Linked DNA regions of Yarrowia lipolytica. The protein of the gene in region 4 interacts with the protein of the main gene of each other region in a pairwise test. Links are inferred from orthologs where the notes say so. Each region holds a gene or a part of one and is shown on either strand. Other genes may lie near its edges.

Region 1 (4,673 bases), on a different chromosome or scaffold from region 4:
CACACAAAACGACCATTCATGTCATGTCGTCGTCGCTGCTGGAGAGTAGTTACAATGGCGATCATCGTTTTGATCTGGTGATTGCCTTCGACAGCACGTTCAACCCAGCAGAGGTGCATGTGGAGGCTCTACGGATGCACAAGAGGAACATTCCCGCTCCCGTGTTGCGTCTGGTATCAAACCTCTCTGCTGAGCATGTCGCATACAGCTTTGGACTCACTGCTAACCCCGATAGAGTGTTTACGGAAGAGGTGATTGCAGCTCTAGTGGTGCTGAGAGACAAATCTGGAACAATCCCCGCTGAGATGAAGTCGTTGTACCTGCAGCAGCTTCAGCCATTGGCCTACTGGTTTGCCGATTTGTCTCTTCCTTGGCCACTTCCCGATCTAGCACCCATTTCCGGGTACTCCAAATTGGACGTGGAGACCTCAATGGCCTCGTCGTATCATCGTCGATCGGCCATTCCTGGAACCGCCAATGACCCTACGGACAATTCTTCTCAGCCTTCTAAGCGGTACAAGCTGGACCCTATCAGCGCAGACCACTTTGCTCCTCCACACGATTATGCACATGGTCGATGGACAGGTTTGACACAGGGGCTTCTGGAGCAATACAACTCGCTTGTTGGCCGAGAACGGCAACTAGTGTCGGAAATCGAGTCGCACAGGAAGCTCGCAACTACGCAGCAGCTCAAAATGGAGTCTCAACAGGACGAGATTGCGCGTCAGGTGCGTCAACACGCGTCCTTCGAGGAGACTATTGGCAAGCTGGAGCGAAAGATCGAACGAGGAGAATCAGATGCGGTTCGAAAAGAGGAGGCAGTTGTTCGATTGCAGGATGAGGTTGCTTCTCTGAAGGCTATTTTGGCTTCTGGAGAGGACGCAGACATCAAAACCAAACAGCAGGAGGAGATTCAGGCGCTGAAGACGAGCCTGCAAAAGGCCAATGCTACTGCTGATGCTCGGTCCAATGAGAATGACTACATGCGTTCCGAATACCAAAAGGCATCCGAGAGCGCGTCCGAGGCGTTGGCGAAGGTGGGATTGCTTACAACCGAGCTGGCTGAGGCCAACCAGCGTGCCGATGGTGAGTTTTCTGCCCTCAGAAAGCTCACATTCGACGAAGAGCGAGAAATTCGGGATTCGGAGATTGCAGAGCTCAAGGTTAAGGTGGAGAACTTGGAGGAGCAGCTCAAGAGACAGAGCGAGGCAGCTCCCAAGACATCACGTGCGAGGTACGGTGTGAGATCGAGCTCGGTTCCTAGACGAGCTCTTTCTCCTGCCGATGGACCTAATACGCAGTCAGAGTAGACGGATGACGAATGATGAAATATATTATGTATTATAGGAGGTTTAATTAATTACTGACGGATTGAGTGGTTCTATTTTTACTTACAAGTACTTGTAGTTTGAATGCAATATATTACCGATACGGTATGTGTTCCTACCCCTTCAACGCCTACTCCTTGCACCACAACTTCACTGTTCGATCCCAGCCACAGGTGGCGAAGTACTCGTTTCCAGGTCCCAAATCCATGCCCATGATTCGGTCTTGCGTCTTCCACCTTTTAGCCAGGGTCCACGAATCGGCATTCCAGATGTTAAAGTCGCCATCGTATCCCGTAGATGCGAGAAATGAGCCCGACTTGTCAAACTGAACACTCGACACAATCTTTGTATGTGCAGGGATTGTGTGGGAACATTTTTGAGCACGCAGATCCCATATTCTGACAGATCCGTCAGCAGATCCAGATGCAAGATAGAACCCGTTACCAGACCATCCCAGACTGTATATCTCTCGGATATGGCCTTCCAGAGTCTGAATACTTCGTCCAGATCGCATATCCCACACTCTGCCTACTGCATCCAAGCCAGCAGAGGCTACTAGAGCTCCATCCGGGTGGAAGGCCACAGAGTGGACACCCTTAGAGTGTCCTTCTTGAGACAACAGCTTGGTACCGCTCTCAATGTCCCACAGAGCCCAGGTGTAGTCATAGGACGCGGTAGCAGCCCACTGCCCGCTTGGATGAACGTCTAGACCTGCGATACGGCCCTTGTGGGCTTCAGACACCGTTCTGTATGCAGTATGTTCGTTGCCTTCTGTGCTGGAATCCCAGAACAGCAGCTTTCCCTCTCCACATCCACTCAGCAAGATATTACGTGCCCATTTCAAAGCACTTACTTTATCCACGTGCCCTCTCAACACAGCCTTGGTATTCAGATTCGGTACATCCATTAGCTTGATCTCGCCGTTCCACGATGATGCAGCCAGTATAGAGTCGCTTCCAAAAGCCACGGCCCCTGCTGGACGTGTGGAAACGAACTGTGATCCCAGAAGCTGATACTGCTCTATAGGGGCCATCTTATCTCGTCGTAGGTTAACTGTCTCCACCAGGGACAATTCCGACTGTTGCTTTTGTGTCGTGAGTCGGTCCCTTGCTCTCAAGATACTGTCGTTTGTTATCTGCCTCCTTGCATCAAGCAACTCTTCACTTCCTGGCGTAAAAAACTCGTCGTCGTCCATAGAAACGTCAGAATCGCTCTCTTCGTCCTGCAGACCTTCCCGATCAAACTCGTCCACCATTAGCTGACCCAGACGGGTCCGTCGATCAGCTTTGTCTTCTGCGAAAAGAGTAATGGGCTCATTCAACGATCGTAGTTTCGCTCTAACATCCTTATCGTCTGTAGGAACATGCAGTTTTTTGAGAATATCAGCTCGACGTTGTTTTTCCAACAGCTGACGGGCCGCAACGGCCTCTTCCCGAACTGAAGAAGAGTCCACCGTCGTCTTGATCGACTCCAGATCCACAAGTTCCATGTTGGTGATGAAGACAATTAGGTTGGGAGGTGCAGAATTGATACATTTGATTACTAAAGCGATATGGAGTGCTAAAGCAGGATTATGCAATGAGTGAAAGGCCCGAATAAACTATTGTAAGGTCAGGGTTGTTCAGATTTGCAGCTAGAGAGCAAGAAATATCGGCCACTTATTAACCACAGGTTATGAGTTTCTTGCAGCTCCTGCCTGTTCGATCCCCATAACTGTGGATATTATTCACTACTTGTAGCTCTGTTTAGATAATAGCTGATGAAGATGGTGGCGATATTTACAGAAAAATCGACTTTGGAAAAAACAACAACACGCAGGCGACTCCACATGCTGCTTCGATATACTGACCTCCGCCTACCTTCCCTTCACATGAATGATAAAAAACTCGTTCGGAGTTTAGCTCTAAAAGCGAAAGTGCGGAGAATGTGGGAACAGGATACAACTATAGAATGATAAAGTGATAGAAAAAGAGCTACTGAAACGAATAATGCGGGCATAGAAATAGCTTCAGAGCCTCACGTAACTTGTGTTTAGTTTGGCCTCTCCTAATACCTCAATCATCGCTCGCTATTAGCTCTCAGATGCCAATAATAATAAGACGCAGTAGATCGCCTAAGCAAGTTTAAACGGAATGTGTTGAGGCTATTTCAGTGTGGAGGAGTTATAAAGTGCAAAGAAGGGGGAGGAAGGATGTTTGAGTTGCCGGAAGGCATTCAATATATAGGAAATTCTGTTAAGAAAGAATCTCTTCCAAGCCCCAACCGTTGGCGCCCATCAATGGTGTGTTTAATAAACCCCGCTGACAACCGCATCCATGCATTCCCCGGAGTTAATATCTCACCTCCTGATATCTAGATGCAGCTTCGAAAGCTAAAGTGGCTACATTCACTACAGACCACAGGCAGTAAGCATCCGACACACAAGTGCACCTGTCTATAACCCCCACAATTTCTTCTCTTGTTGCACACCAACACCAACACCACAGAAACACAACAATGGCGATCCCCCACTTGGAGTGTCTGCAGAAATGCGTCCACGAGCTCCATGCCCTGTTGCATCAGCACTACCACGAGTTCCAGGCTTCTCCGGTCGCTTACCTTCATTCGAAGCACGACTGCGTGAGGGCTGAGGTAATTGAGCATTTCCAGAATGCCACTACCTATGAAAAGTGAGAATAAGCGAAGGATGAGACTGTTTGAGTACTACTAACCCAGATTTCGAGATGCGGTATTTATTGTGTGAGTATACACGGTCCCATTGAGAATCAAAACGACACAAGTAAAAGGCGATCTTACAGAGATACCATTGACGCCATGACACTCACGACGTTTTACCCATGAGATCTTGGAGCAATTATTCACAGAGGCTTCTCTTGGCCGTACATCCGACCGTCCGACCGGGAGCACACGGACATGATATCAGTCATCATATGTTAGCTACGACATACAATTAACAGCTACTCGCTGTTCATGTGATTTGATCTGGAAACGATGAGCTAGAGCAACCCAGCCATGTATATACTAACTCAGCGTCATTCTCACAGCCCTTGGCAACTTCCTTTCTTTTATTCACACCATCTTTGCTGATGGACTTCAAAACACATTCCGTTTCCATGCCAGAAAAGTGACCAAAAAGATTCTCGACATTCCCTTCATCAAGGCTAAGATTGACAAGGAGACAGGGGTTGTGATTGAGAAGATCCAGAACGACATTATCGTCCGAATGCCCGGCACCCAAATCTTTGGGACTCTCCCTGCTGAAGGTATGACCAACACAGAGGTCATCACTGAGATGTCTAAGTACCACGATATGAAGCGAACCTTCTGGGAAAAGGGTCGTGTAAG
Region 2 (5,872 bases), on a different chromosome or scaffold from region 4:
ACCATCAAGTTTCAAACGGCCATTATAATCGGTATATCAACTTGAATCGTCCAAAACTGGCGGCAATGTGGGGCTGCGAGAGCCAGTTGTAAAGATATGTCTGTCAAGCTACAAGGACGAATACAACCGGGATCACCGGATCCACGAACCACGTGAATAAAGGCAGTAGTTTCTCAAATTGGACTTGTAGCAACAACCAATCCAGTCACTTCAGTCGCTGGCCCTTTATTGTATTGTACTGACTGTATCTACTCCAACATCATGTAGCCGACTACAGTATGATGAGAACCCCTCGGCAGAGATTACACTACTGTATGGACTGTAGAGGAGCCACGTAGATCCAAGTAGATCGAGCAATGGCTGAATAGTTGACAAGAATAATCCACAATCCAACAGCAATCGATATTTGTCCTCAGAACAACTGCAAGTGATCTTCCCGAAGTTATCCACCGTGCGACTTGGAGAAGATGACGGATGAAGCTGCTGATTCCAGAGCTCAGAAGTTGACCAAACACCTCAGAAGTTGACAAACACTCTCAAAGTTGACAAACCTCAAGAAGTTGACAAAACACCTCAGAAGTTGCTGCTCCCTTTTCCTCGTGCTCATACCAGAGCATCCTGGGTCCCGTAGCCATCATCCGTCGACCTGGAGCGTAACCATCAGTGCTCTTCATGGACCTTGCCCAAAGATGTTTCGCTAGATCAAAGGCCAATACCATGTCAGCACTCTTCAAAATGCTCCCTAATGGATATCTTCGAAGCCTGGTTGACGACTCTGAATCTAGACTGGAAGAGTCTTGAGTTCGGGACCCCGGTTCCCAACCAGTTCCCACGCCAGTCCGGTACCTTCGTGCCGCCGTCTAGTTGTACTACCACTTCCACAATGTCTATCATGAACTTTTCCACTGAGCCCCTACGCAGTCTCGTCTCCTATCTATCTAACACGCTCACCACGGTCAAACGGTCAAATCATCTTTTTCTCAAAAATCCTATTTTACATAACCACTGCTCCCTCATCTAATCACCCCTGCAACTCACCAATCTCCGAAGTGGTCGCATTGAGACCCATGACGTTAAGGAACAGGTTCAGATTGTTAATCTTCTGCTGCGACAGATCTGGCGGAAGAGCCTTGGCCTCGTTCATAGTACCAAAGATCTTGTCCCGCACATCGTCAACCATAACACGTTGGTGATCAATCTTCGCAGCCAAGGCGATGGACGCCAGGAACTGCCACACGTAAGAATCGTCCACATTTCGAGGAGGGAACAGGGAGTTGAGATTGTTGCGCTGAACAATGCCGAAAACACGGTTGAAAATGCGGTTCCAGGTCTCCTCATCTTCGGCAGAAACAGAGCCCTCCTGGTTGATCAGCTCGGCCCGGGAAATCAAAACAGTCACAAATGCAGATCCAACCTTGGTCTTGACAACAGCAGCAGTGTCATTTCGATCCATCATCAACTCCAGCAGACCCACAATGACGCCGTACTCGGCCTCAGAAATGTACTGCACCAGAGGAGGAAGGACGGTCTGAGAGAAGACCTCAATGGCCTCCCGCGACTTGGCGGGCAGGTTCGACTCCTCGCCGCTGTAGTGGCCATTCTTGACCACGTCCAAATCGCCAATGTGGGCCATGATCATGGTCAGAATGGTGAGCCGCTGCTCGGCAGAAATATGCCGGAAAACTCGGGGAATGGCCTTCTTGCACTTGGCATGCGAGAGCATGGCAATGAAGGGGTGCAGCGAGCCGTCGGCCTGGTCGATGGGCGCAGTAATCTGCAGCTCACGCCACAGCTGGGTCACCAGCGCGTCTTTTTCTCCCTTCCACACCTGGAACTCGTCGGACAGGTCGTCTTCGGGCTGGGTTCTCTCTGCAGCCTCCAGACGTAGCAGCACAATGTACACGTTCTCAATGGCCCGCAGAATACCTCGCTTGTCGTTAGCAGACACGTACGAGCCGCCCTGAAGGTTGAACTTGGAGATTGACGTGGTGATGGATCGAATGGCATCGGTGGTGGTGGTGGTGGTGGCCACGGGGGTAGCAGATCGAAGTTCGGGGGTGGCAGAAACTCCCTCAGTAGGAGCCTCAGTAGAGTTGTCGGCGTCGGGAGTATCATCTCGTTTTCGCAGGTCGAGAGCCTGTCGAGGACCCTTGTTGCTGCCAAGGTGAATCTTACCGAGAGCACCCTGGGAGATAATGGAGTCCTTCTTGGGGTGGTCCTTGACAAACTGCACGGCCTTGTGGACCTGCTGCTGCAGACGTTGCAGGCCGTTCTCGTTGCCGCGGGCCCGTCGGCCCCGCTGACCCCGCTGGTACAGGTACGTTCGCGCAAAGGCGTCGAGCGGCTGGTTGGGGTTGGATCGCACGTTGATGGCCGAGTGCACCTGGTAGTAAAAGTCCTCGTTGTAAGGGTCCTCGGTGACCATCTGCTGGAGCTGGACTCGCAGCACAAAGTCCTTGTCACCGCCGGTCATGAGATTGTTGTGTGGCTTTCGCTTGCTGATCATCTCATTTCGCTTGGCCAGTCGCGCGTTCTCATCCATGGGAGGGATCGTGTGGTTGGGCGATACGTGCACGGGGCCGGGCTGGTAGCCGTAGGGACCCGAGTGGGGAGGGCCCTGGAAGCCCTGAGGAGCGGTAGGGATGGCCTTGTCCTCCTTGGGGCCCAGGGGCGCGGTAGGAGGGGCAGCTTGCTGCTGAGAAGCAGGCTGAGAAGCGACAGCGGGGGGCTGACCCTGAGTCTGAGCCTGGGGCTGCTGCTGCTGCTGCTGCTGCTGCTGAACCTGAACCTGGGGCTGACCCTGAGATTGTCCCTGGAACTGAGGCTGCTGGAACTGTCCCTGTCCCTGCTGCTGCTGCTGCTGCTGCTGGTAGTGCATCATCATCTGCATGTTGAGATCATGGTTGGGCAGGGGAGGGAACTGCCAGGGCTGCTGGTACTGCATGGGGTGTCCCTGGGGAGGAGGGTAACCAGGAGGGAAGCCCTGGTAGCCGTACCCGGGAGGAAAGTGGCCCTGAGGAGGAGCGTGACCCTGGGGAGGCACACCGTGTTGCTGCTGCTGCTGCTGCTGGCCCTGGGCCTGGGCCTGTCGACCCATCAGCTGCGCCTCAATCTGCTCCAGAGACAGAGGCTGCTGACCGCCCTGCTGGGCAGCAACATGCTGGTAGTGCTGCTGCTGCTGCAGGTGAGCCTGCTGGGCCTGCTGGCCGCCGTGCTGGGCCTCGTCGCCCATGATTCGCTCCTTCTGGTCGGGAGCGCCCCACAGAGACGCCATGGGCTGCAGAGAAGGGGGAGCTTGTCGCTGCTGATGCTGCTGCTGCTGGTGCTGCATCTGGGCGTGCTGAGGCGCCCGGCGTTCGTAGGCAACCTGGTCCTCGTCAATGGCGTACGAGATTTTGGCCGTTTCGCCGTGGAAGTCGAAATCCCGGCCCACAGACGCCTCGCCGCCAAACGTCTCGTCGTTGAAGGCGTCGCCAGACTCATCCAGCTGTCCGCCAAGATTGTCGTCGTACGTGTCGTCGAATTCGTACTCCTGCACGTTGCCCTGATTGGGCTGTGCGATACCGAAGAAAGACATGTCGAAGAGAGAGTCGAGAGTCTTGGTGTCGGTGTAGTGTACTGAGATGTGTAGAGGTGACAAGAGGACACTACTACGGTGCGATTTTGGGTTAGGGTAGGAGGGGGGGTAGGAGGATGTGGAAAGAAGGGTGCCTTTGTTGGGCGATTGAGAAGAGATAGCGAGAGAGGAGAAATTGGAGGTTCGAGAGAGTGGCAAAAATACCCAATAAATTTCTTTAACGGCGCAAAAAATCCTTCGGTTACCTGTTTATACTGACTGGCTAGATTTCCATGGCGGATCTGTCATACAAAATAAACTCTCAAACTTTGAGTGGCTCTGGCAAATTTGGGAGACGACTTACCCGGACGAGTCCATGAGTGAGTGGTGTTTTTTGTATTACATAATGCAAGTTTGATTTAGTTGAAAGAACAATTGAGAAAAAACGTGTGCTGGGGGTGCTATTTCGGGGTTACAGGAACCTGAGCAACGCTGAAAGTGGATTAAATGATAGGAAATGGCTCATTTTTTAACAAATGTGTAATAATATTGACAGTATGGGGTACAGAAAGACGTTTTTTGGTTAATATGTGGACAGATGGAGTTGACATTTACTTAGCTTCTAGAGTGAGTCCAGAAGAAGTAACCGACAGAATCGACAGAATCGACAAAAACATGTCGGAAGATGTTCAATATGGAATAACTAGCCTAGAGAGTGCTAGAGAGGAACTTTCTCATGTCGCATCTGTTACAACTGGTGAATAAGACATCGCAGATTGTCAGAGATGTGGACAGGAGGAACATTCGACATCTGAAGCACCTTTGGGCGACATCTGAAGCACCTTTTGGCGACATCTGAGCACCTTTGGCAACATCTTCAACATGTTGAGTAATATATCTGTTGCAGCTCCATCTGTCCCTCCACACAACAATGCCATGACTAAGAAGAGACTCTCAGGACTTGATTACTCATTGTTATAGCATCCGTCAATGGAATTAATCAGCCAATACAAAATCAATACTATCAACTCCTCCTTCCAGACACTTGCGCCATCTAAAGCCTCCAACAACCTCATGACTGGTTCTATCTCCACCACCAACCAACCACAACACCAAAACTTGACCAAATCAAGCAAACAGTTGACCAAAACAATCTCCTCAACACCAGCTACCAGTCCCTCGACATACTCCCGCCTTCCAACGACCAAAACGGCAGATATATTGTATTATTAGGCTCCTAGATGACGACCACATCTTATTCAACTAACAATGTCTCATATACAACCAGACGTTGTCGGAGATACGGGATAGTATCGATAGATCCATTTTTCTGCTCGGAAACCCCGAAAACGCTCGGTGGAGTCGCCGCGCAACTCTTCACTGTTGCAATACGTACAACATAAATTAGCTATTTAGTGTCATCAACAAGTAAGTAACCAGGACACACCTATTGACAGCAGGAGTTATCAATGTCAGCAGACAACACGAGTGTCACAATCCATTAACGTCCGCCACCAACAGGTGTGCTTGGAAAAGAAAAAATCTGTCACGCAAACCTTGGTCATGGCTCAGCTTAACTTCTCTTCTTCACCTTGACCTTCTCCTGGTCGAGATGGTGCTTGGGAATCCAGCTCTCATCGTAGCCCTTGGGTCCAGTCTTGACGCCGGAGCCAGCAGGAACCACAGGCTTGGCTCGAACGGGCTTCTTCTCCTGTCCGTAGGTGCCGGTAGCGTATGGGATGGCGTACACGTTAACAACGTAGTATCCCAGAGCAGCGGCGGTGATTCCCAGCACAATCTGGGCAAACAGGAACTTGAAAGACAGAGGAGAAACATAGGGGTCGACAATCGACACGGGGCCGTCAAAGGCGTGCACCTGGTACACCTCGTTGCCGTACTGGATGTAGACCTGGATGACGTTTCGGTAGACCTTGGCATCGAGGTTGGTCTCGAACTGGTGGGTCAGGGCCGCGGTCTTGCCGCTGTCGACCTTGATGGGTCCCACCTGGGTGCCCTGGACGCTGACCACCACCTTGTCGGTCTTGAGGTCGTAGAAGGTGCCTCCCACGGCCACCACAGAGATGGGGTCCTTCTCCTTGTTCTCGAACACCAGGTTGATGGGCACGTCTTCGCCGTTGATGAAGGTGTTGGCGACGAAAAATCCGGCGTCAGACGCCTCCACGTCCGAGTTGGAGCCGATCTGGGCGACGGCAGAAAACTGCAGATGAGAAGCCACGGGAATCTCAACGGGGCCGGCCTTCTTGCCCCAGGCAGATGCAGTGGAGGCCAGAGCCATGGCCGCAGCAACAAGACTGA
Region 3 (5,025 bases), about 1.0 Mb from region 4:
TTTCCGGGGGCAACAAAGATTCGCTCCACCAGAGGAGACTGAGCCAGCTTCCATGCAAGGGCGTGCTCTCGGCCACCGTTGCCAACCAGCAGAATTCGAAGGCTCATGATTGTGTGTGGGTGATGTGGGGGGGTGTTGTGGGTGGGGTGGTGAACACTGGACGTTAGTAGAAAGAGCTTTTAGCACGTCGATACCATTTTCGAATTAAAAATATTTTTTAAGCTTCACACTTTGCAACAGACACCCGTTGTCAGTAACTCGGGTCCATAGGCACCAATGGCCATGGGCATGTACGTACACATACTCGGTGTGTTTTTACCCAGATTCGACGCCCTACATTGTAGACCAATTAATGCAAGTCCCTGCCCGGACCTATCCCTACATCGTACCTCATCCCCCCTAATGCCCGCAACAGCACCAGTAGGCATTCTCCACTACTAATTCTGCATAGCTCTGCAGTGTCCCCAGACAGTAAAAATGCTTCACTCACGAATGATGGCCAATAAGTCATACCCAATCCCAAAAGCTTAGTAGTCAAATTTTTGGCACAGAGCAGCCACACATTTTGATCTGACACAAGACTACCCTACTTGTAGCATCCTGGTAAGCGGCTTACACCAAAGATACAAAACCAATCTACACTCTACAGAGCGACCGTGACTCACGTATTGGCTGCACCTGCAATAGATCTCGCGCACACGGTCTACTCGGGTCCCATGCTTCTCGCAGTGGCCCAGGATACATTTCATGCATTTCTGGAGATAGACTTTTACAGTAGCCGTACCAGAGCCATGATCTTACTTATACATGTTCGGGTACCCACGGCATTCGACTGAACCACACTTGTAGCTACAGTACAACGTTTCATCAGTCACCAACTAGAATATCATATTGCTATATACCCCAGAGACGAAAAAAAGGTCAAAAAAAAAGGGTTGGAAAAATATGGCGGAAAGTGGGAAAGATAACCCACAAAAACCGTACACAAAAAACCAAAGGAAGATTGTAATCGCTTTTTTCAGGCTCGCGTTCTTACTGCGACGGCTGCTGGGGCTGGCCATTGTTGAAGCCCTGTGGCGGCTGAGGAGGGAAGCCCTGCTGCTGGTAACCATAGGGAGTAGGGGGCATGTAGCCGCCGGCTCCCTGAGGAGGCATTCCCTGAGGAGGCATTCCCTGAGGGAAGCCCTGAGGAGGAGGGTAGCCGTATCCGGGGCCGGGAATGCCCTGAGGAGGACCCTGGGGAGGTACGGGACCCAGAGAGTGCTGGTTTTGACCGTCCTGTTGCTGCTGCTGGTTCTGGTTCTGCTGGGGCTGGAATTGCTCGTTTCGCTTACTCTCCTTGCCTCGAGGCATATCAGCAATGGGGAAGGGTCGGGGGATGTTCTCGCTGGACTCGGCAACGTAGAGGTTCTTGTCGATCTGGGCAGGGATGGGCTTGATCTCAGTTCCAAGTTCCTGCTCAATCTTGTACAGGTTGTATCGGTCGTTCCAGTTAATGAGGTTGATGGCAATACCGAGATGGCCAAATCGTCCAGATCGACCAATTCGATGGAGATAGGTCTCGGCGTTCTTAGGGAAGTCAAAGTTGATGACCACGTTGACGGCCTGGATATCGATACCTCGGGTAAGCAAATCGGAACAGACGAGGTTTCGGCACGTGCCGTTTCGGAACTCATGGAAGACTCGGTTTCGATGGCTCTGGATCATCTTGGCGTGGGAGTAGTAACATGAGTATCCCAGCTCAGTGATCTTTCGGGCAAGTAGCTCAACTCGCACAGTGGAGTTGCAGAAAATGATGGACTGGTTGATGTCGAGCTTAGAAAAGAGCGTGTTGAGACAATGCAGCTTCTGTTTCTCGTCGACAAAGGCGTAGTACTGCGTGATACCTCTTAGGGTCAGCTCGTCCATCAGGTTGATTTCGTAAGGCTTGTGCAGGTTTCGGTCCATAAAGGCCTTGACAGTCAGAGGGAAGGTGGCGGAGAAGAGCAGGATCTGACGGTCCTCAGGGAAGAAATGGAGCACCTGCTCGATGATGGGTGTGAAGTCCGGCGACAGCAACTTGTCGGCCTCGTCCATAATAAACATGGGCGACTCGCTGAGATCAGCGACGCCCTTTCCTGCTAGATCCAGCACTCGGCCGGGAGTGCCGACCAACACGTGTACCGTGTCTTCCAGACGCATAATGTCGTCTCTGAGGTTGGTGCCACCGGTGGTGACCATGACCTTGATGCCAAGATGCTTGCCTAGGGTCTTGCAAACCTGTGAGGTCTGGAGTGCCAGCTCTCGGGTGGGCACCATGATAAGCGCCTGGATCTTGTTAACTTTGGGGTTGACCTGCTGGAGGGCTGGGATCACAAACGCGGCGGTCTTGCCGGTTCCGTTCTTGGCTCGGGCCAGAATATCTCGGCCTGCGAGGGCAATGGGGATCGCCTCTTCCTGAATGGGCGAGGGGTTTTCGAATCCTGCTTCAAAGATGCCCATGAGCAGCTCTCGTTTGAGGAAAAAGTCCTCGAACCCTGTACCCTTTGTGGCGGTCACATCTTCGGTTTTGTGACGCGTGTCCTTTTTGGGCACGTTTAACGACTCTTTCCACTCAGACATGTTTTTGTGTAAAATGTGGGGTGGTGCGGTGTCGTGGTGCGTGTCGTGGGCAAACGGGAAGTATGGATATCCGGAAACTCAGAAGTAGGGACCTGCGATGGAACAGTGTAGGTGTCAATTGTCGATTAGAAAACTCCAGATATGTTTGTGTTCTGGTGTTCTGTGATGGATGGCAATAAAACAGTTGGCTGTATTGGAGGTAGGGGAGAAAGAAGAGATTGTCGGCTGGTTGTGGGTGTATTGAAAACTTTACTGGGGTGTGGATTCATTGGGAAGGGTAAGTTGGAGTGTCCGTGACCGTGGGGAGGAGGACTCCAGGCCACCTTGACATGGAGAATGTGGTGTTGGTTTGCTACGTAGTTATATAAAGAGGTCCTTTTTTTGTTATCTCTCTTTTCCACGTTTGTCATTTTGCTGGCTCCCTCTGTTTTTTTGCTGTCGTAACCCTTTTCTGTCTCTATCCTCACCTGCACACCTATTACAGCTCGCCACTTACCCGGTTGACGAACTTTGTCTGGGCACGACGGTGGCTTGGAGAGGAGCAGAGCAGAGAATGAGTGAAGATATCACTTGTAGTGTAAACGAGTGAAATGACGAAGATGGGACGATCATCCGCTGGTTTTCCCCCATACACGCGCTTCACCTCAACCTGTAATGGGGCACATATTATGACTGTCTCGTCCAACGTCTGAACAGTCAGATGTATGTAATATTGCTCCCACACACGCAGCCCATTTCCCCCTTCAGCAAAACAGATATACTTCCATTAAATTATCCACGCGAACCTCATCGAAGGTATAGAAAGGTGTACTTGTACGGTACGAGCATGTGTGCTGAACAGATACTTGTAGTCGCAGATACTGTCGGTACAGTGGTCACAGATGCTGTCTCTTCATCAGCTAGCAGAGAGAAGTACATCGCGATACTTGTACGCGCTAGAAATCACCATTTTGTCACCCATCTAAGCTAAAAGTACAAGTGTGATTACTTTAGTATCACTGATCCACATCGACAACAGAACGCTGATACCTCCCACCAAACACATCGAAACACTGCTTCCAGTGTTCCAAGTCTCATACCCAACCATAACGACGGCCCATTTGGACTCTCTCGTCCGGTTCAGGCAGTGCAGTGCAGCTCGAATGTGGGCCAAGGTCACGGCGTCAAGAGTACATACTGTACGTGGGTGGTATTACCTCGGAAATTGCCCTCCCATTTTCAATCAAGGTTAGCTCCAAGTATAAGTATCGTAGTGGCATGAGCTGAGCGATGGCAGAGTAGCTACTGGTGCCGGAACGATACAGATGTGTGTGGACTCTTGTGTTCAGAGATCGTCGTTGCCCCATTTGTCCCGGCCACCTGGCAACTTGCACAAAATAATTAACTCCGATATATATATATCAAGCCACATGCCCCAACCCCCCTACTTGTAGCCTTTTGCACCCACACCCCATCCATCCACAACCACTTCCCCATTCGGCCAAGGTCTGCACCAAGCGCATCGCCAACGCGTAGCGTCTCTCCCAACGTACGGTAAAACCACAACCTTCAACCTGCCAGACAATAGACCGATAAAAACGGTACATTGTCCATCGTGTGAACATGTCTGTCGACCTCAAACCCAAGACGCTGAAGCGCAAAAACTTCAAGAAGCTGTCACTCAACGCCGACGCCGGAGTGGCGCCCCAGGCAACAGCTTCCCCTCCGCCATCACAGCCCTTCACCCTCGACAAACCCACGCTCCAGAGAGCGCCCTCAGCAGGCAACCTGATAAGCCAAATGGCATCGCTGGAGCTGGGCGTGGAGTTCAAAATCGACATCCGGGCTCAGGATCTGCGCACCATACAGGAGCTGGGCGCAGGCAACGGCGGGTCCGTCTCCCGGGTGGAACACATCCCCACTGGTGCCGTCATGGCCAAGAAGGTGATCCATATCGAGGCAAAGGAGGCCGTGCGACGCCAGATTTTGCGGGAGCTGCACATTATGCACGAGTGCGACTCGCCCTACATTGTCTCCTTCTACGGCGCCTTCATCAACGAGTCGTCCGGCGACGTGGTCATGTGCATGGAGTTTATGGACTGCGGCTCACTGGACCGCATCTACAAGAAGGCCGGCCCGCTGACCGAAGAGATTGTCGGCCATATCACCGTGGCCGTCGTCGAGGGCCTAACGTATCTATACAACGAGCACCGCATCGTCCACAGAGACGTCAAGCCGTCCAACATTCTCGTCAACTCCCATGGCCAGATCAAGCTGTGCGACTTTGGAGTGTCTGGCGAGCTCATCAACTCCATCGCAGACACCTTTGTTGGCACCTCAACGTACATGTCACCCGAACGAATCCAGGGAGGAAACTACACTGTCAAGTCCGACGTGTGGTCGCTTGGCATCTCGCTGCTGGAGTTGCTGCTGGGAAAGTTCCCC
Region 4 (4,198 bases):
GAGTGGGCGAAAAAACAGAAATAGAGTGCAAAAGAAGTGAGGAGAGGATACCCCACATTTTATAGCGAAATATGTCAACCAAACATGGTTGCACGCTTACAGAAGCGCTTGTTATGTGGTTGTTTGTTCGATATTGTTTGATTGATGGCGTTGGGACAAGGTTCAGGAGTCGCTGCAGCCAAAGTCTCGACTTGCATACTACTGTGGGCTGCAAACAAGATGGGACACCATATCTGCCCCCGTGGTTGCAAGTAAGTATCCGTTGCGGTTTATTTACAGACAATGCGGCAAAACGAGACCGTTTCGGCATTAGTTTCGTGGATGCGACTTTCACGTCAGCAACACAAATCCATCGGACACAGTTGCATTGATCAGGCGCACATAGCAGTTAGGTTTAATCGTACATGGAGATCCACCTTTAGTGCTAAGGTGTGGCCCGAATCAGTAGGGTTACAAAGATCATGGGGTCATCAATCCGGCGGGTGCGTTCTGTCAACTTACAGGTGCACATCTCTTGAGCAATGCTACTACTAGTTTTCGCTATATTTTGTAGTAGAACTTCCGTGCAGTCTTTCGTTAGTCTGAACGTACAGCTCGTTACACCTTTCGACAAGCAAAGTAGTACCGTAGCTTAAGAGTGGTCGGAACAGACAAACATGGCGTCTTGATGTTGAGACAGAAATCGCCTACACGCTATAACTATTATACAGACATACTTACGTTGCTCTCCTATTATAATTGTGGCGTATATGTAAAAAATGACAGAAATGTCTCTAAGAGAGCAGCCAGGCACATTGGAAGGTCCCTACGATCCATCTCAGGCCACTCAGCTCCCTGAATCTTCATAGTTCTCTGTAAGTATCCACCAAAAAGTCAAAGTGACATTGCAGGGGTGTGTTGAAGTTGGTATTTGGATACCTAACCATGGGACTGAGAAGCTCAAGGTATAGCTTTAGCACTGACCGCCCTAACCACGTCAACCAACGCGGTGATCAACAACGTTGGCTACTTGTAGTGTGCGATTCTTATGAAACACCCATTCTTCGTATGTACAATGTAGGTACCTGGAAGCAAAGCTCAACAATGCAACACATCTGTCTTGGGTGAGCATCCAAGTCCGCCGAGTCGGATAGACACCTTCCAAAACCGGCTTTACACTGCCTACCGAGGTAAGTAGACTCAAACCATAGACCTGTAGTCACCTAAACGAGCTCTTTGTTGCCTATGGGTCTGACGCACAAATTCCGTGTCTCTGCAGTAGCGGGACTCTAACTCAGCCATACCTTGTCATACAAGGTGCTGTGGGATACAATGGCATTGAATGGATACCCTGTTTCCAGGACTCTATATAAACCACCGAAATCCTCCTCTCGAATATCCAGAAAACAACTACCCTTTCTTCTCTTCTCTCTTCTATTCACTCCAATCAACACATTACCAATGGTCTCTTTCACCAAGCTCGCCGTTGCCTCCATGGCTACTCTTGCCCTCGCTGCCCCCGCTCCTGAGGAGGCTGGCCTCATCCAGATGCGACAGGTTGTCGAGGCTCACTTCGGCGGAAACAGCGAGATCGCCAAGCGATTCGTTGACGATGCTGTTGCCCTCGACGCCCGAGCTGCTCAGGACTGGATTTCTCTCTTCAACGTCTTCCAGAGCTTCACCAACGCTGGTGTATCTCTCTTCCTGAACTCCATCCAGGCTCTCAAGAACGTTTCCCCCCAGCAGGCCAACGCTGCTATCACCCAGGCCATCCTCCAGGCTAAGGGAGCTCTCAACCAGCTCATCCAGTGGCTGCAGAACTACAATGGACTTGCTGGCTGGACCAAGGTTCTCGTCAACATGTTCATCTCCACTGGCCTGAATGCCTTCATTACCAACCTTGGTCTCTTCCTGATCACTCTTTCTACTGTCATCTCTCAGAACAAGTTGGTCAACACCTTTGCCGATGACATCAAGGGCCTCATCGCTACTATCAACCAGGCCGGTAACCTGCTCGCAGACATTATCCCCGGTTTCCGACAGGATGCTTCTATGCTTGTTGGTCTTAACTCTCGACTCCAGGGTCTTCTCACCAACTAAACAATTATGCCAACCATATTGTTCAGGATGTCTTCATTTCTCAAATAACTTTAATTATAGTATTTTTTCCGTTAACAGATTTTGTTTGTGAAATTGCCTGAAACACTAAGCTCATGTAAACAAAACTAATCAATAAATGGAATACGGATGTCACATTTTGTTCGGTCTTTGTTTCTTGAACAGAAATCAATCCACTTGGTCGCCTAATGTTTGACTAATAATGGGTACAATAGCTTAATATTGTAGAACAAGCGGGAATAAAGTTGCGCCCCTGGGGTATGTACTCATAACCTAAGTCTCAGATTGAAAACGAAAAAATGGACTCCAAGATGAACGAAAAAGAAGACCCATATCATGGAGAGACAGAATATCTTTCAACTCGGAATGAGGGCTGATATTAGGAGTATTCTGGCGGGTCACCAACGGGGTTGTTGGTGTGAAGTTGAGAATTTTAGAGGGTAATCTTTCGAAAGTCATAACATCTATATAAGATATCTATGTTGATGTATTAAGGGGACGAGTAGCTTCCAAATGAGACCAGACTCGTATATATTCAGCTTACCAACTGTCGTATTATCAACACTTCACCTTCCACACCCCCAAATTAAACTTCCTGGGACTAGCTCTCTCTCATAACCTAACGCACAGGTTGACAACTCTTCATCATCATCAATAATGGACCGACACGACAACCGTGGAGGAGTGAGTATAGCGGATCGAAGGCTCAGCCATCCATTCACACGTACTAACAACAGCGACGAGGCGGCCGAGGCGGCCATGGCAACGCTGGCCATTATGGAGGACACAACCAGCACCAAAATCAGCAACACCAACAGAATCAGCAGCAGCAGAACAACCAGAACCAGGGCCAGGGCCAAGGTCAGAACCAGGGCCAGTCCAAGAAGCTGGAATTCCCCAAGCGAGAGCCCATTCTAGATCTGTCTCGATTCGAGAACAAGCGAGTGGTTGTCAAGGTCACTGGCCGAAAGATCGAGGGCACCTTAAAGGGCTGGGATCAGCTCATGAACTTGATTCTCGACGACGTCAAGGAGACCATTTACGAGGACGAGGAGAGCGAGGACTTTGCCGAGTTTGAGGGTCAAAAGGAAGGCAAGGTGCGAGAGATCGGTCTGGCGGTCATTCGAGGCCCTAACCTGCTTTCTATCTACCCTCTTGACGGAGGAGAGGGAGTTGAGGTGGAGCCCAAGCCCGAGGTCACTATTTAATTGGATAGTAATAGAGTGTATATTATGTTGTGGTGGAAGTGAGATGCTGCTGTCGTTTTTCTTAGCAATTGTAATGGGGCGCCATCAGAGGTGTACAGTATGTACTGGGATAAGTTAATGATATGTTCGGCTCGGAGCAGGTATTGAACAGTGTAATGACCCGACATACTCTTCGTACATGTACTGAATTTCTAGTTATAATCTATAAACTGCAATGGTTTCAAGTAGCTACGTGCTGTAGTGTACTGTATGTGATAGGGCTGACTACGCCATGCTCTGGGTTCACTCACACGACCCAACGCCACCCCTACTTGTAGTCTTACTACTTGTAGTCAGTAGAAACGGGGGCGTGTTTACCATTAGAATGTACAATAATGGTGCTTATCGAATGGATAAAGGGTTAATATATCGATTTCGATTAGTAATGTATCGAGCTATTGTATGCACATATTCACGCCCTCCACACACCACACACTTCCACATATTAGACTTGCCTGTCCCATGCGTGTTGGGATAATTGGCTTCACAGAACAGCGACACTCACTGATAAACAACCAGTCACACTTCTCCAGCCACCCAGCGACGGCCATACTCGAAAAGTCACTGACACACTCATGTCAAGGAATTGAACATTTCAGCAACCATAATGCAACTAGAACCTGCTCATCTTGTGTACGCCGCATTTTGGACATTTGGGTTGGTCAACAACGTGCTCTATGTGGTTATCTTGACCGCCGCAGTAGACCTGGTGGGACCTCAAACACCCAAGGCCGTGGTGTTACTGGCCGACGTACTCCCATCGTTCTTGATAAAGCTGGCAGCACCATTTTTTATCCACAAAATCCCCTATAACCGCCGAATAACATTGCTGGTTGGCCTGTCAACTGTGGGAA

The links.
Region 1: the proteins of YALI1_F37998g (region 4) and YALI1_E33268g interact in binary tests that used the Saccharomyces cerevisiae proteins (3 or more experiments, as listed by UniProt). The link is inferred for Yarrowia lipolytica from reciprocal best matches to the Saccharomyces cerevisiae genes LSM7 and PRP4.
Region 2: the proteins of YALI1_F37998g (region 4) and YALI1_E23348g interact in binary tests that used the Saccharomyces cerevisiae proteins (3 or more experiments, as listed by UniProt). The link is inferred for Yarrowia lipolytica from reciprocal best matches to the Saccharomyces cerevisiae genes LSM7 and PAT1.
Region 3: the proteins of YALI1_F37998g (region 4) and YALI1_F27929g interact in binary tests that used the Saccharomyces cerevisiae proteins (3 or more experiments, as listed by UniProt). The link is inferred for Yarrowia lipolytica from reciprocal best matches to the Saccharomyces cerevisiae genes LSM7 and DHH1.

Annotation. Positions count from the first base shown.
Region 1 is NC_090774.1:3,323,973-3,328,645, forward strand, and holds YALI1_E33268g (uncharacterized protein), read right to left. Parts: upstream 2,818-4,673; coding exon 1,459-2,817; downstream 1-1,458. Other genes in the region: YALI1_E33234g (uncharacterized protein), read left to right, coding at 1-1,310; YALI1_E33278g (uncharacterized protein), read left to right, coding at 3,825-3,997, 4,044-4,071; YALI1_E33285g (uncharacterized protein), read left to right, coding at 4,552-4,673. UniProt on the Saccharomyces cerevisiae protein: Involved in RNA splicing. Is required for the association of U4/U6 snRNP with U5 snRNP in an early step of spliceosome assembly.
Region 2 is NC_090774.1:2,332,536-2,338,407, reverse strand, and holds YALI1_E23348g (uncharacterized protein), read right to left. Parts: upstream 3,578-5,872; coding exon 1,022-3,577; downstream 1-1,021. Other genes in the region: YALI1_E23325g (uncharacterized protein), read right to left, coding at 5,130-5,872. UniProt on the Saccharomyces cerevisiae protein: Activator of decapping that functions as a general and active mechanism of translational repression and required for P-body formation. First decay factor recruited to mRNA, at a time when the mRNA is still associated with translation factors.
Region 3 is NC_090775.1:2,790,330-2,795,354, forward strand, and holds YALI1_F27929g (uncharacterized protein), read right to left. Parts: upstream 2,602-5,025; coding exon 1,033-2,601; downstream 1-1,032. Other genes in the region: YALI1_F27904g (uncharacterized protein), read right to left, coding at 1-107; YALI1_F27945g (uncharacterized protein), read left to right, coding at 4,204-5,025. UniProt on the Saccharomyces cerevisiae protein: ATP-dependent RNA helicase involved in mRNA turnover, and more specifically in mRNA decapping by activating the decapping enzyme DCP1.
Region 4 is NC_090775.1:3,798,443-3,802,640, reverse strand, and holds YALI1_F37998g (uncharacterized protein), read left to right. Parts: upstream 1-2,754; coding exon 2,755-2,781; intron 2,782-2,834; coding exon 2,835-3,305; downstream 3,306-4,198. Other genes in the region: YALI1_F38013g (uncharacterized protein), read left to right, coding at 1,312-2,079; YALI1_F37986g (uncharacterized protein), read left to right, coding at 3,952-4,198. UniProt on the Saccharomyces cerevisiae protein: Component of LSm protein complexes, which are involved in RNA processing and may function in a chaperone-like manner. Component of the cytoplasmic LSM1-LSM7 complex which is involved in mRNA degradation by activating the decapping step.